4 linked regions of the Caenorhabditis elegans genome follow. The protein of the gene in region 1 purifies or fractionates together with the protein of each later gene. This does not show direct contact. Each region holds a gene or a part of one and is shown in the gene's direction. Other genes may lie near its edges.

Region 1 (3,366 bases):
TCACTCGCAGGCTTTCAAAATTCGCCTTTTTTTCGGTTTTTGTCCTAGTTTGCAACTCTTTTCAATTTAGAGAATAGAAAACGATAAGCTTTTTGTTTAGAAAACTCGAAAATTTGCGTTCTATTTCAATATATGAGTATAAAAATTAGCTCGAAAATCTCGTAAAAGGTTTTTTCTAATAATAATGACTATAAAAAGTACAACGGCAATTTCCAGAACAGTAAAAATAACAAAGCAGTAAATTAGCCCAAAATTGCGTTCGACCTTCAAATTCCCCAATATTGTACAGTAGTTGAAGTAATCGTGGTGAGACCTGTGTGAATAATACCATGTGCCTTTAAATATTTTTAAAAAATGAAGGAAGTCTCCGCTCGGTTTTATTCGGGAATTATTAAAATCAGAACAGCTCTGAGGATGAACAAATATTATAAAATAGAAGTGGTAAATGAACAACAGTAAACGGTATAAAAACACAATTTTAATCCTTTGGAGATCCTGGAGACGGAGAGCGAGACACACTGCGATTGCTGCCATCTCGGCTGTGACTTCTTCCACGGCTCACGCTGCGCTTTCTATCTCCGCCGTTCTGAAACCATATGATTTTTACTATACAAGCACATAAATGAATTACCTTTGGGGGAGATCCACTTCGGGTTCTGCTTCGATCTTTTGCTGGCAGTGGTGAACGAGATCTCGACGCTTCACGCTTCCTAAAATATAATTCTTGCATTTAATAGAGTCGGAATCTAAAGGACTCGAATACGAAACCGATATGTTTGCGCGAAGTTGTCTGATTCAAAGTTAGGGATCTCACTCTTTTAATCGAAACAGCGGCTTTTGGTAACTGTGGGGACTGAACGAGAAGTGAATTGAAATGTATTGATAGTTGACCCATACTGTGCTCGAACTGTCTCAGCTATGTGTATGCCATTGCGATGTGGGCTTGTAGGTGATATTGATTTCTCATTGAACTGTGGCTAAAACGGTTCGTGATGTGGCACCCTTCCAAAACAATCCACACATTAAAGTTAACTTACAAGTCTCTTTTCGGGCTCGGCGAACGGGATTCGCTTCTGCGACGACTTTCACGAACTGGTGATCTGGATCTGGAGGAGCTTCTGGAACGGGATCTGCGAGAACGTTTGCGATCACGAGAGCGGGAACGTCTTCTTGGTGGAGTACGTGAACGACGTCTAGGAGAGCGGGAACGTCGTCGTGGTGATCTCGATCCATGACGGTCATTGCCGCGTGGTTTTCCGCGAGCCATTTCCACGACAAGGCGCATAGAGCTGAAAATAAAAAGTTAGAACATTTTTAATTTTGGTTTATTATTTTATTACCTTCCTTCCATGGTTTTTCCATCCAAATCATGGCATGCGTCTTCAGCATCACGAGAATCTTCAAAATCGACAAAGGCAAATCCATACTTCATTGAGATGTTATTAATTTTGCCATATCCTTTTAAGAATCGCTCAACGTCGCGTTCGCGTGCATTGTATGGAATTTTTCCTAGATAGAGGCGCGGCATTTCTGGAAAATCACTTTATATTCAAAAATTAATTTATTAAACGCCGTTCATTAAGCCCAGTAAAAAAAACACATGAATTCGAGAAATCAATCTCAATTTTAAGAAGAGAAAGTCCTAAGTCAAGAAAAAGAAATTCTATCAAAAGCGCACACATGAAAACGAGTGCGACCGTACTCCTAGTCGTTGCGAGACCACTTGGCATGCCGCCAAGTCTTTTGCATTTTCGAATGTGCTCAAAATGACTGGATTCCAGTCACTGGAAATCTGTTTTGAAACATTTTTCCTTGATGCAGATGTTTTTATTTGTCATAACCTCTTTCTTATCAGTTAAAAGTTATTTTTATCGTCGTATTTTCTATTGAATTCCATCGTTTCCTTTTATTCTTCTATAATTGTATGTATTTCAGGTAGAAAAATGAAGTTGGTCAGATTCCTGATGAAGTTGTCTCACGAGACCGTCAATATTGAATTGAAGAACGGTACTCAGGTGTCCGGTGAGTATTTTTTAAGATTAATTGTCTGCTTGAAAGTGTTTTAATCGAGAAGTTGAGTTATTAACCAACCAAAATCAATCTTTCACGAATTGCTCGACATTTGTTATAGTGTTTTTATATTAGGATACATTTTCAAAGTCATAAATCCGAATAATATTGTATAATTTTAATTACTGCAAAAACGTAACTAAACAACTAAATCGATTTTATTTAGGCACTATCATGGGAGTCGATGTTGCGATGAACACACATCTTCGTGCCGTCTCAATGACAGTTAAGAACAAGGAGCCAGTCAAACTCGACACGCTTTCAATCAGAGGTTATTAAAAATCATATTTGAATAAATATAATTTAAGATTTTCAGGTAACAACATCAGATACATCATTTTGCCGGATCCACTCGCTCTTGACACCCTTTTAATCGACGATGAACCAAGAAAGAAGGCCCGTGCCGCTCGCGCCGGAGGTAGCTTTAAGCGTCTTTTCGACAGATTATTAATATTTTTATTTCAGCTTCACGTGGACGTGGTCGTGGTGGAATGCGCGGAGGAAGAGGAGGTCGTGGTCGCGGACGCGGAGGACCACGCGGAGGCGGTCCACGTCGTTAAGCTATCATCGGGTCATAGCAAATTTGAGTATCGAACGTCCTATACTTTTGTATCACGTTCCTCAAGTTTAATTCACATTTTGTTCCCGTTAAAGTTGCTGACTTTTGTTTAAATCTTTTGAAATAATTTATTACGGCTTTCCGAGTCAACACAAATTTCCCAAGTTTCGCAGCCCGTGAGAACAACTGTACTTTATTTTGTTGTTACGTTCTGATCTCTATAAATTTCTTCAATTCAAGCATTAAGAGCAACAACATAAGGGCAAAAATTATTTATATTTAAAACAAAAAATTCGAATAAAAACAAGAAAATTGCATTATGCACTTTGCGGAACCGGCAACAAAATTGTATCCGAGTCCTGCGGTCCAGTAGCTTCAAAAACAATAGAACTATCCGTAGAAGGTAAAACTGCATCCAATCGATGTCGCTCCTCATCTGGAAAAAAATATGTAATTGAGTTAAAATTTACGATGGACCAACCTTCAGAGTTTCTGGGAGTACGGGGTGGTCGAGGAAGCAGAAGAGGTTGTGTTTCAGATTCAGTTGAATTGTTTGAGAACAAATCTGTCCAGAAGGTACACTGAAAGCAGAAAAAATGCGAAAGTTCCCAAACACTCATAATAATATTACAGTGTAAACAGCCAAGAATATTCCAATGAAAATTCCGACAAGAACATCGCTCCAATGATGCTTATTATCAGTGATTCTGGAGAAGCTAATTCCAAGTCCAATCATA
Region 2 (3,813 bases), on another chromosome or scaffold:
TCAAATTTATTCAAATTTACAGGGTACCGGAGAATGGGACGTTTGTCTTGCACAAGTATCATCTTTAATCGGTGATAAAGCTCAACCTTCTTGTCCAAACCCAACATGTTTCCTACGTAACGTGATTGCTCCATCAGTTAACCTATCAACTGTTCAATTGTATGGCTTCTCAGAATACTGGTATACGACAAGCAATTTCGGATCTGGTGGCGAATATCATTATCAAAAATTTACGGACGAAGTTCGAAAATACTGCCAAAAAGATTGGAATGATATTCAAGATGGATTCAAAAGAAATGAATTTCCCAACGCTGACATTGAACGACTTGGAACAAACTGTTTCAAAGCTGCTTGGGTGACCAGTGTACTTCATGACGGTTTTAATGTGGATAAAACCAAGCATTTGTTTCAGGTATGAATTTTTAAAGACACATCTTACATTCAAGATAAATATTTTCAGAGTGTTCTGAAAATAGCCGGTGAAGAAATGCAATGGGCTCTAGGAGCAATGCTTTATCACTCAAAGGATCTCAAATTCAACCTACTAGAACAACTTGAAGTTGCGCAATCTACCCAACAAATATCAAATTTCTTCTCATTTTTTGTCATTCTTATCATTGTACTGGCAGTTGCTTTATATCGCCAACTTCAATCTGAATCTACGTACAAAAAATATAATTTTCTGCGAACCGATTCTAAACCGGATTTTCTAAATGTGTAGAGCATGATTTAACTTATAACAATTATAATTTATCATTATTTTCATGTCAAATGCAATAAAAAGGTGTGACTGGTCTTTTACTTTATATTCAACCCGATTAAAATGATAACTAAGTTTCGTCACTTCACTTCTAGATGAATCAGCGAAAGGCAAATAAGGAAAAGGAGTATTTTATAAACTCGTCGTCTTTGAATCGTCATTCTCTTATCACTATATTTTCAGTATTTGACAATGAGCGGCGCACCACCACCACCGCCACCTTACAATCAAGTGAGTTCGATCTTTGAAAAAAACTAAACCGAAAATGATTCAAGGCTTATAACGCATATCCACAACCTCCACAAGGTGTCTACACAGTACAACCCGGTGTTCCCATCGGACAAGGCGTTCAACCAGCATATGCAGTATATTATCAACAGCCTCAAACTGTCATGTGAGTTCTATTCGATATTTCGCGAAAAATTAATAATATTGACTTATTTCTTTCAGAGTTGACGACTGCCATCACCATCATCATCATCGTGAACGGGAGCACGGGGGAGGAGGAGGCGAAATGTGTTGCTTAGCTGGTTTAATGGCTTGTCTATGTTTTTTGTGTTTGAGCAAATAATTTTAATTTGATAATCTGGTTCATAAATTTGCAATTGATATATAAAAATCAATTGAAACTTTGACTGGTTTTGCTATTTCTACTTAGAAATAAATTCAGCACAATTCTACTTTCACATTTGTATGTATATTTTCAGAAGATAGTTATCATTTCGGTTTTTTTATAAAACATATTTTAGTGGAAACATGCAACAAGGCATGCTTTAAAAAATTAAGTGTAAATGTGATGCATTCGAGTTTACTTTTTATTGCACAATTTCTGTATTAATACATGTATCCGTTATACAGTGCAACAAATTCGGCTTATTTATAAAATGCATTTATCAAAAAGATTAATTGCAACTGAAATTTTCGTTCGAATTCGCGCCGTTATCTCACCCCGACATTAGGAAATCTGCACAGCTGAAACAAGTGTTACCGTACTACACGCATCGCGAGCAGCTGCGTCGCGTTTATTGAAATCATTTCGCGCGCGTTGCTCTCGAGCTATCTCCGTTTCACACTTATTTTTGTTTCTCAATAATTATTTTTTGAATATTCAAACTTCGTTCTTTTGCAACTTCATAAATTAATTTGATTTTTCAGTATGGACGCCAAGGTGTACGTCGGCGGTCTGCCGAGTGATGCAACATCACAAGAAGTGAGTTCAATCTTGAGCCATTAACAGTAATTATGTAAATATACATTTTTCAGCTCGAAGAGATTTTTGATCGATTTGGAAGGATCCGTAAGGTTTGGGTAGCTCGTCGCCCTCCTGGATTTGCGTTCGTGGAATACGACGACGTTCGTGACGCTGAAGATGCTGTCCGCGCTCTTGACGGATCGTAAGTTGTTTGCTTTGGATATTCGTTTAATGCTTCAAAATTATAGAAGAATCTGTGGTGTCCGTGCTCGTGTTGAACTTTCAACTGGACAAAGACGTGGCGGTGGCGGTCGTGGTGGAGGTTTCGGCGGCCGAGGTGGTGGCGGAAGAGACAGGTTAGTTGAAAATAATTTGATAGTTAAAGGAAAAGAGAGCTGTATTAAAAATTTTATTCGGTAAAACCGTGGACCAAATTTTTAATTTTAGCGGACTCCGCTCGTCCGCGTCCCCATCTGCCATCCCAAACATCACTATCTTCCACTCCTCTCCGTCTTCTGTCTTCACGACACATTCTTCTCTTCCACATCGCTACGCGCCCTTTACTTCTCCCAAAATCATCGCACCAGAATTGTTTTTGACTCTTTTCATCAGTTAATTCTCCGCAGTAGTTCCTGAATCGAGCTTCTGACAAAATCGTCTCATCATGCCTTCGTCGGCTGAATCTTCCCATTCAGTAAGAAAGTTACATCTACCTTTCTTTATGCTGCCATCTGCAGGAAAGATGTATTCGACAAATATGCAATATTCGGAATGTTTTAACATTGTTTATTTCAGATCGCCATACCGAGGAGACCGTGGACGTTCCCGTTCACGCTCTCGTGATCGTGGACGTGATCGCAGCCGCGACAGAAGCCGTGATCGCAGTCGTGACCGAAGCAGAGATCGCAGTCGTGAACGCAGTCGCGAAAGAGAACGTACTCGTTCAAGGTAAGAGTTTTGGATATAGTTATTTAAATTTAAATGAGAAATTTCAGATCTCGATCTCCTCAAGAACGTGATCGTTCTCACTCGAAGAGTCGCTCCCGCTCTCGAAGCCGTTCTCGCAGCCGTTCTGCTTCTCCGCACTAAATTGTGGAAGATCCAAGACCATACAGTATCTTCTCCACAACATCAATTTGCAACCCTAATTCCTCCGAAGAATCTCGAATCAATGATTTAAAAAAGTTTTCACTAAATTTAATTTCTTTGTTGTTTAACCGAATTTTACCATTATTACCTTTCACTGTTCTGTCTTTTTTTATTTTGTTCCTCTTTTTGTAACCTAAAATCGTGAACTTTCATCCATTTTATAAACTGTTGTCGGAAAATAAAAGTAATATTTCGGTAATTTGTGAACGGGGAAATCCAGGGAGACCTTATTTTGTGCGACTTTTTGCTCTGTGAGAGCGTTTTCGAATGTGTAAACAACTGCTTGGAGAACTAGAGAGCAGCACGTGTTTGTGGTGCTCTTTAAAAATGTTGGTCACCGGCCAGCAGTAGAAGATTGATTTTCCCACACATTCTTTATTTCTCTTTATGTGTCGTCCCACCGGCAGCAACGCACGTTTCTTTTTTGTTTCGTATGGCAAAGGATAAACAGGTCTTTATATAGTACGGTTCTACTTGATTTCTCTTCGTCTCTTGCCATTTTTGTTTTCGTATCGTCTCACAGTTAGCACGTGCTATTCCCAGAAAGAAAAAGTATGTGTACTGATTCAAAAAAAGCTCAGGATTCGCCACCAAAAATGCGAGACGACGTGGCAAAGATTGCCGCATCGGCGAGCATTTTAATTCTTTCATGGATTGTACTTTATCACTCCTGTCGAAGGGCATCTACAATTTACTTTTTCGAGGTTAGTTT
Region 3 (4,300 bases), 1.8 Mb from region 1:
ATTGTTGAATTGTCTTTTGCGTTTTGAAGTGTTCGGGGATCGCTCTGAAAACTGCCAACAACAGTAACCCCTGCGACATATCTATAGATAGTTGAGTGTTCATATAATCCCAGTTTAAATAAACCTAAAGTAACGAAAAAGCATAATAAAACATTCTAAAAAAGTTTTTTCAGACAACGTTTTGACAAATTCCCAAATTTTCAAATGTATTGGCTTTTTGAATAATCTTGAGCATTGATGCAGGTTTTAACCCAGAAGTGTTCTAAAACATGTTTAAAACATACAGTTGAAACGCAATAAATATTAAGCTCGTAGAAATTATTATTTTTTGGTCGGCATCCAAAATTGTGAATGGCGAAAACTCTATTATCATCACTTTTTGACTAAAAATGGAAAATTTCAACACGTTTTAAGATGTTTTACTACACGCCACCGTAAATATTGAAACTTGAGACAAAAAATGTATTTATGCCTATTTCATTGTACAATTATAATTACAGCTATTTCTCAATGTCCAAGAAATTAATTATAATTTTTATTCTACTATTTTATCGAAATAATAAAAAGTACTCACCACCAAAACAATTAACACGTTCACGTCTTGCAAGACGGATTCTGTGAGTACTGTCAAATTATTCCTGTAGCATAGCCTTTCAGCAGTTCTTATTAATGCATTCAATGCACTTCCACAAGATCCTATATCTTCTGATGCATCATTTACTACAAGTATTTCTTCGCAATTCGGAAAGGCGATATTTTGGAAATGTCGTATATCTATAATACGAGTGTGTCTGTAGTTTATATCGTATGAAAATTGAACCTGAATCAATACTACTTGGCTCTATATTGAACCCTAATGAAAATGTGACAATGTCCCAACGCATTTGATAGAGAAAAAGAGTGTAAGAGAGCAAGGAGAATACGACTAGCACTGGTGTATTCCACGTGGTAAAGAGATGGAGACGCAGAAAATGTATAGATGTGAAAAAGATAGTAGAAAACTGGTTTAATATTATTCAAACACAACAAAATGTATAAACATCATACAGTATAATAATAATCTAATCAAAATAATCATCGAGATCAACTCCCGGCTCCAAGAATGTTTCTGAAATGCCTTCTAGATCTGTTTTGTTGAGAATCAGATTTTCGAGTGTCTCCTCCATGTCAGTTTCGCCAATTAGAAGGGCACCGACAATCTTATTTTTGACGACTACACATCGAACGAGTTGATCGTTATCGGCGTCTCTGAATATTAGAGCATGTTTCATTGTAATCTAAAAAGTGTACAGTACCTCAATACAATCTTCCATTCTCCTTCCACCTGTCTCTCTGGTTTGTAGTCTCCAAGAAACACCACCTGAAAGAACATTTGTTTTTCTATGATTCTTTGCACACATCTATCTTTCGGATCGTTTCGCTACTAATATTGTCTTGTGCACTGGACAGCTGTTTACAGCCACATTCCCCCTCTCGTATTTGAACACCCGCCCATTGCTAATTACTTCGCTGCGAGACCATACGAAGCGACGCGTTGCGTGTGCGTCGCGCGTCGAAAATATTCGAATGGGTATCGTTTCGCGGTTTATTCTTCATGAGGAGCAACCGCTCTGCATTTTCCTGTTTTGATCTGTTTTTGTGAGGTTATTTACTAAATTTCTTTTGATTGTTCTATTTGTGACTTTCTCTAATAGGTTAAACACTATTCTCTATTTTCTTCGTGAAATTAGGATTAATCTCAAGCCCCTTTTTATGAAGACCTTTATTTTTTTTTGTTTCAGAATGGAAGAGGAACAACTTCTTGACTACGAAGAGGAGCAGGAGGAGATCCAAGACAAGCAGCCAGAAGTTGGCGGAGGCGATGCCAGAAAAACTAAAGGAACGTATGCTTCTATTCATTCTTCCGGATTTCGTGACTTCCTCTTGAAGCCAGAAATTCTTCGTGCCATCGGAGACTGCGGTTTCGAACATCCATCGGAAGTACAACATGAGTGCATTCCTCAAGCCATTCTTGGAATGGACGTTGTCTGCCAAGCGAAGTCCGGTATGGGTAAAACCGCTGTTTTTGTAATCACCACTCTTCAACAACTGGAGCCAGTGGATGGCGAGGTAAACAGTAATACATCAAATTTCAATAAATCATTGTTTTCAGGTATCTGTTGTTTGCATGTGCCACACTCGCGAGTTGGCATTCCAAATTTCCAAGGAGTATGAGAGATTTAGCAAATATCTCCCAGGAGTCAAGGTAGCTGTCTTTTTCGGTGGAATGGCCATCAAGAAAGATGAGGAACGCCTTGCCAATGACTGTCCACACATTGTTGTTGGAACTCCAGGAAGAATGTTGGCTCTGGCTCGTTCTGGCAAGCTGAAGCTTGACAAAGTCAAGTACTTCGTCCTGGACGAGTGCGACAAGATGATCGGAGATGCTGGTAAGAAATACTTGTAAATATAGGAATCATTATTGAACTTTTTCAGATATGCGTCGGGATGTTCAAGAAATCGTCAAGATGACTCCACAACAGAAGCAAGTGATGATGTTCTCCGCCACATTGCCAAAGGAGCTTCGCACTGTTTGCAAGCGATTCATGCAAGACGTACGCTTTATCTCTGATCCGGAACCTACGGAACCGCTGTTCACTTTTTTGAAACAAAAAACATGTATCAAACCAAAATGCTAGTCATGTGTGTTCCGTGATGCGAAAGAGATGGCCAGAACTTGGTTGGTCGTTAATTCCGAAGTCGCTTTTTGATTTCTCGGATTTCAGATCTCATCTTGTTAAGCCTCTCGCCACGCAGAAGCCATCGTCCTCGGGGGAGGTAGCTGGCTCGCCTCAGCGAAGCTGATTGCTAATAGGTCGAAAGACTTGTCGGGAACACGTGACATGTACTGCAAAACACGTTCCAGCCCCCGATTCATCACCGTGCTGCCGTTCTAGACCTTAAAACATTTTTTCAGCCAATGGAAGTCTACGTCGACGACGAAGCCAAGCTCACTCTGCACGGACTTCAGCAACATTACGTCAAACTGAAGGAAGCCGAGAAGAACCGTCGTTTGCTGAATCTTCTCGATGCACTCGAGTTCAACCAAGTCGTCATTTTCGTCAAGGCCGTAAAACGTTGCGAAGCTCTCCACCAGCTCCTCACAGAACAAAATTTCCCATCAATTGCCATTCATCGTCAAATGGCTCAAGAAGAGCGACTTTCAAGATACCAAGCATTCAAAGACTTCCAAAAGAGAATCTTGGTGGCCACCGATTTGTTTGGACGTGGAATGGATATCGAAAGAGTCAACATCGTGTTCAACTACGACATGCCAGAAGATTCCGACTCGTATCTTCACAGAGTTGCACGTGCTGGTCGTTTTGGAACCAAGGGTTTGGCCATCACTTTCGTTTCTGATGAGAATGACGCCAAGACCTTGAACAGCGTTCAAGACCGCTTCGATATCAGCATCACTGAGCTCCCAGAAAAGATCGATGTCTCTACCTACAGTGAGTTTATATATACCAACGCCCATTCAAAAATTCTTATTTTCAGTCGAAGGCCGAACCAATTGATTCCATGTACCCTCCTATGCATTCAACTAAATATGAGTTCCACCTTCGTTTTACCCGGCATTGTGCTGATGGAGTAAAATGCCTATTGTTTCCCCTAAATTATCGACCTCTGTTTCTTGTGGTCTCATTTACCAATTTTCGTTATCGTTAACAGTTTCCAACTACACGCAAAAAAATTTGACTGTATTATTTATTTTTCTTTTTTCATGAGTGTTTGGAAATAAAATTCGACAATTACCATGCAAATTGTTATTTATCTCACCTTTAACCCGAAAAAAGTCGTACAATGCGAGAACAGTTCGAAATACATATTCTGCATACGAGCCTCTTCGACGCCTGCCACCATCGCTCTTCCACACACTTCTCCTTGCTGACGTGCTTGTGTCCACAATTGTCTCTTAAAATATTTCAACTTTATTTAACACTCAATCTATGGTTATAAAACTTGTTGCCAAAGAGTTGATGGTTCTGTGGTAGTCAGTGCACAAACATCTCCACATGCAAAAACATTAGGAAGTGAGGTTTCGCAAGCGTCGTTGACTTTAATTCCACTATTTTCAGTGATTTGGAGCATTTTATTCATAGCCCAGACTTCTGAGTTGGCAGTTACACCTCCTGCCCAAATAAAAATATCTGGATTGAGCTGGTTATCTGCCTTAATAAAATAACTAGGCTTAATGGTACGATAACTTAAAATGATACCATCTTTTCTTTATCCATGTAATGTACCGACAAATTTTGGG
Region 4 (4,291 bases), 2.0 Mb from region 1:
TCAACTCTCCAGCCCCATCTTCTACAACTTCTGGATCTTCTTCTAGAACATCTGGAGCTTCGTTGGCACACAAAACTCACATTGTTGGGAAAGGTGGAATTTCGTTATCAACTGTTGATCCATCCCCGATTCTTTCTCCAGGAATACGGTTATCGGAGCAACTAGGAGCCAAGAATCAGTCTTATAAAAGTGCATTCAGGGTCCAGAAAACTGAAAATGCTCGTGTTATAAGTCACTATCACGCTCCCAACGAAATTCCACTTTCCAGTGATCCATCGGTTGTTGAGAATGAATCTAACTATCCCGTGATGACTAGTGGTGGACTTCTTGTTTAATTTTGACTCAAATCTCATGTCTTGCCGTCTTTTTCTAGGCACTATATACGGGTTTATTCTTTCTTTTTTGTATTCTTTCTGCTTTTTTTAAAATAAATGTTTAAATAATTGAGCTCAATTTTTATTAGAACCAACAACAAGTGATAACAAATTACGATAGAGACCTACTAAAATTCGAAGAAAATTGCTGAAAACCGAACACGCTAGGAAAATTAAAACAATTACTTTGCCTTCTTGGCAAATTTATCATGACGAATCCACCATTCGTCCCAGTCGTTGTTCTTGTCATTTTTGAATGTTGGGAAGTGAACAAGTGGATCTGGATGAATATCTTGCAGACGTACACCAGCTCTCTCAACAGGCTTTCCAGGTTCATCTGTCCAGCTTTTGTACCATTGACGATAATCAAAGTTTCGGAATTCTACTCCAAATGTGATTGTTCCATGTTCTTTTGCTTTCAGAAGTTGTGCACGAAGTAGCGTGTACTGTTCACGACATAGTCCACTCTTCAGGATATCGATTGGTTGGTCGGTGCCATCTGCCAAAAATTGTTCAATGAGACCTGGGTTTCGGTAGTCGAAGTATAGATATTCGTCACGGCACACCTGTAATTCGTGAATTTGTTTGTTATATCTGCAAATGTTAGTTGCTGTTACAAAAACTTACTGGACAAGCATGATTTAGATTGAATCGGCCGTGTTTATCAATGCAGAAAAGTCTTGGAGGTGGTTGAAGTTTCGATTGACCCTGAATTTTCAATCAATTTATTTATTTTTCGAATTCAAATTACCTTGATGTTTCTCTTATACCATCTGTAAATCGGAAGTCCTTTGTAAGCCTCTGCGTATCCTGAAATATATTAAATAATTTAATTTTTAATTGGCATTCATGAAAGCTGTACACAAAGAATTCCTCTTATTTTGTTTTTGAAACTAAATTGAATATTACCTCGACTTTTCATATAGGAAATCTGCTCGGCAATACTGTGTTGTGGTTTGTACATTCCCTTCTTTCGTTCAACATGATTGTAAGCGTATCCGGCCTGAATATATCGATTTTTAAGTAAAATTGTTTATAAATTTAACATAGAAATTAGTTTAGTTCAAATATATTATCAGTTACCTCTTCTGGAGTCGGAACTTCTTTAGTTTTTCCTTCGCAAGCCAATCGGCAGGAAGAATGAATCAGCCTTCGTGCGAATGATCCCCCAGTGGCTAACATACCTGAAATACTGACTTAGACAACTTTTAAACAATTTAATTATATTTAAAAAGTACAAGCTTATAGCTTTAAATTACAATTAAAAACTTAAAAATAAAATAATATACTTTGTGCGTCAAGTTAAATGCGGTGTACGCAAGGAATGTGTGTTCACCGTCACGTCAAGTTGCACATTTTCGAACATCTTATTTTTCTCAAATTTTTATTCTTCTGTCTTGTTTAATCTTTTTTATGAATAGTTATTCACTAATTTAATATTTTTTAAATGTTTAGTTGTAAGAAAACTTTACAGAAATGGATTCGTGTCTAGAAACCATCAGAAACTTGCACGAGGAACGGGAACGATTAATCGATATAACTGTTAAGGAAAAAATTGCAGAAAAGTTAACGCATAAGGCCAAAGTTAATAGCGAACAGCGAGTGAAAACATTTGTCGATGTAAGAAATAACTGTTATGTTATTTCAATTCAATATTATTATTTTTCAGAGGTACTATTCAGTTTCCGCCGAGCTTGCCAAATTTTATAAAGATGAAGACGGTTCGAAGAGCATGGAAATGGATTCAGTTTCTGGTCCAAATGAGTTCGCCGAATTTTATTCAAGACTGAAGGTCATCAAAGATGCGCACAGAAGAAATCCAGACGAGGTTAGTTTTGTTATTTTCCCCGGAAACAATTAAGTTTGGTTGTAATATAATTTCTATACATTTTCAGCTTGCCGAACCACTCACCGTGGAGTTCCAAAAAATCAATGAAGAAATCATCAACCCTGAAAGAGCCGAGCCAGATATGGTTGAATTCAGTGATGAAGAAGCTTACGGTCGTTTTCTAGATCTTCATGCACAATACGACAAATTCATTAACTTGAAGAACATCAAAAGGGTTGATTACATGACGTATTTGTTGAATTTTGAGAAATTCACAGAGATACCGAAAAATACTACCAAGAAGACAGGAGCATATAAAGAATACATCAATTCCTTAAAAGACTATCTTGTTTCTTTCATGCAACGAACTCGCCCACTCCATGATCTCGATTCAGTTTTCTCTGAGGTTAATCAAACTGTAGAAAGAGCATTTAAAGCAGGGAATCTTCCTGGTTGGGAAGCTGATAAAAACAAGAACGGACCTCAAGCAGCTGCTGTGGATTTATCTCCATACAATAGTGCTGAAGAACTCGAGGGATTGGGATTGGAACGTTTGAAAGGAGCTCTCATGGCAATTGGTCTGAAATGTGGAGGGTGAGTTAAAAATATTTGGATTTTTTAATTGTAGTCCTCGTTATTTTTCAGAACTCTGAAAGAACGCGCTGATCGTCTTTTCGCTACCAAAGGGCATAAACTGTCAGATCTCGAAAAAGCAGCAATGTCTTCAAATAATTCCGATGCCGAAAAGCAGAACGCTAAAAATTTGACATTGGCACAAACGGAAGCTCATATTATGGCACTTGCTGATATTCTAGCTGAAGAACGTACTGGAACTCGCGAAAATGTCGAGAGAAAACAAGCTAGATCTGCTGGAGAGGTCGAAGAAGAGGAGGAGGAGGAAATTGTGGTAGGTTTGAATTATTTTCTCTAGTTATTTTTAGAAACATTTAAAAATTCATTTTTTAGATCGAGGAAGAGGAAGAAATTGATGAGAGTGCACCATATAATCCAAAAAATCTACCGCTTGGTTGGGATGGAAAGCCAATTCCGTATTGGTTGTACAAACTTCACGGCCTCAATCTATCATATTCATGTGAAATCTGTGGAAATCAAACTTACAAAGGTCCAAAGGCGTTCCAAAAGCATTTCAACGTAAGTTCATTATATTGGTCTCGTTCAAAAACTTGATATTTGCAGGAGTGGCGACATTCTCATGGAATGAGATGTCTTGGAATTCCGAATACCTCTCATTTCGCCAACATTACGAAGATCAAAGATGCACTGGATTTATGGAATAAATTGAAAACCGAAAAGGAGATGGCTAAATGGAATCCGGACATCGATGAGGAGTACGAGGACTCCAGCGGAAATGTGGTCACCAGGAAGATGTATGAGGATTTGAAAAGACAAGGACTTCTGTAGACGCTATTTTATGTATTCCATTGTTCTTCTAAGTTATTTTTTTTCCTTTTTAATCTTACATTTCTGTAAGTTTTTAACCAATTGGTCTCATTTTTCAAATTTAATGGATAAACTTTTTTGTAATTTTAGTACAATTGAAATAATTTATCGGTATATACAGTTTCAGATAAGTAGTGAGAAAGTTTAATACTCAAATGCAGGATTTGCCTTGAAATCAGCACATCCTAAACAGCTACAATATTGTTCTCCTTTTCCGCAATAGCCACTATTACTGCAACAGTAGGATTCAGAATCCGGATCACATTTTGGAATTTTTCCAGTAGAAAGTCGTGGAGCATTGTAACCACAACGACCTGAAGATATATTCTTATAAGTTGAATTGAGGGCCTGTTCCCTCACCAACGTTGGCTGGATTCTCAGAAAATGTCCACCATTCTAATGGTTTATATTTGAAATCTCTCTGTTTTGCAAAATCAATACATCCATTACATTCACAATGTTCCTTTGAATTTCCACAGTAACCTCCATTACTACAACAATGAGCATTAGCATCATCTGGATTACAAGTTGGCGCTTCTCCTTCTAAAGGTGGAACATCTCGACCACATCGTCCACGTTTCCCTTCTCCAGCATCCGATGTGTACCATGTGATCTTTTGGCTTGGTTT

What was found.
Region 2: the proteins of snr-3 (region 1) and rsp-6 fractionate together in Caenorhabditis elegans (co-fractionation; one large-scale study listed by BioGRID). This does not show direct contact.
Region 3: the proteins of snr-3 (region 1) and hel-1 fractionate together in Caenorhabditis elegans (co-fractionation; one large-scale study listed by BioGRID). This does not show direct contact.
Region 4: the proteins of snr-3 (region 1) and prp-9 fractionate together in Caenorhabditis elegans (co-fractionation; one large-scale study listed by BioGRID). This does not show direct contact.

The regions. Positions count from the first base shown.
Region 1 is NC_003280.10:6,488,331-6,491,696, reverse strand, and holds snr-3 (putative small nuclear ribonucleoprotein Sm D1), read left to right. Parts: upstream 1-1,935; 5' UTR 1,936-1,943; coding exon 1,944-2,022; intron 2,023-2,236; coding exon 2,237-2,341; intron 2,342-2,386; coding exon 2,387-2,488; intron 2,489-2,535; coding exon 2,536-2,630; 3' UTR 2,631-2,866; downstream 2,867-3,366. Other genes in the region: rsp-5 (putative splicing factor, arginine/serine-rich 5), read right to left, coding at 479-586, 632-710, 1,038-1,289, 1,341-1,528; plpp-1.2 (Phosphatidic acid phosphatase type 2/haloperoxidase domain-containing protein), read right to left, coding at 2,947-3,065, 3,111-3,210, 3,261-3,366. UniProt on the Caenorhabditis elegans protein: Plays a role in pre-mRNA splicing as a core component of the spliceosomal U1, U2, U4 and U5 small nuclear ribonucleoproteins (snRNPs), the building blocks of the spliceosome.
Region 2 is NC_003282.8:7,789,332-7,793,144, reverse strand, and holds rsp-6 (putative splicing factor, arginine/serine-rich 6), read left to right. Parts: upstream 1-1,915; 5' UTR 1,916-1,916; coding exon 1,917-1,970; intron 1,971-2,023; coding exon 2,024-2,154; intron 2,155-2,200; coding exon 2,201-2,308; exon of another isoform or gene 2,309-2,747; coding exon 2,748-2,900; intron 2,901-2,947; coding exon 2,948-3,041; 3' UTR 3,042-3,298; downstream 3,299-3,813. Other genes in the region: Nucleoside-triphosphatase ntp-1, read left to right, coding at 23-412, 461-721; C33H5.13 (CYSTM domain-containing protein), read left to right, coding at 953-991, 1,036-1,154, 1,211-1,331; imp-3 (IntraMembrane Protease (IMPAS) family), read left to right, coding at 3,656-3,805. UniProt on the Caenorhabditis elegans protein: Plays a functionally redundant role in shifting germ cell sexual differentiation in hermaprodites. Required for the development of somatic gonad structures and for progression from larval stage to adulthood.
Region 3 is NC_003280.10:8,326,352-8,330,651, reverse strand, and holds hel-1 (Spliceosome RNA helicase DDX39B homolog), read left to right. Parts: upstream 1-1,781; 5' UTR 1,782-1,782; coding exon 1,783-2,109; intron 2,110-2,152; coding exon 2,153-2,429; intron 2,430-2,475; coding exon 2,476-2,594; exon of another isoform or gene 2,595-2,719; intron 2,720-2,765; exon of another isoform or gene 2,766-2,956; coding exon 2,957-3,491; intron 3,492-3,537; coding exon 3,538-3,557; 3' UTR 3,558-3,800; downstream 3,801-4,300. Other genes in the region: C26D10.4 (GHMP kinase N-terminal domain-containing protein), read right to left, coding at 1-44, 575-774, 821-884; C26D10.3 (Pyridine nucleotide-disulfide oxidoreductase domain-containing protein 1), read right to left, coding at 1,062-1,248, 1,296-1,360, 3,820-3,954, 4,003-4,212, 4,260-4,300.
Region 4 is NC_003280.10:8,522,954-8,527,244, reverse strand, and holds prp-9 (Matrin-type domain-containing protein), read left to right. Parts: upstream 1-1,848; 5' UTR 1,849-1,850; coding exon 1,851-1,994; intron 1,995-2,043; coding exon 2,044-2,202; intron 2,203-2,269; coding exon 2,270-2,796; intron 2,797-2,847; coding exon 2,848-3,109; intron 3,110-3,168; coding exon 3,169-3,354; intron 3,355-3,399; coding exon 3,400-3,624; 3' UTR 3,625-3,751; downstream 3,752-4,291. Other genes in the region: gldi-7 (Sodium/potassium-transporting ATPase subunit beta-1-interacting protein), read left to right, coding at 1-335; mrps-18B (28S ribosomal protein S18-2, mitochondrial), read right to left, coding at 557-940, 1,002-1,082, 1,126-1,184, 1,284-1,377, 1,458-1,556; cht-2 (GH18 domain-containing protein), read right to left, coding at 3,808-3,977, 4,024-4,291.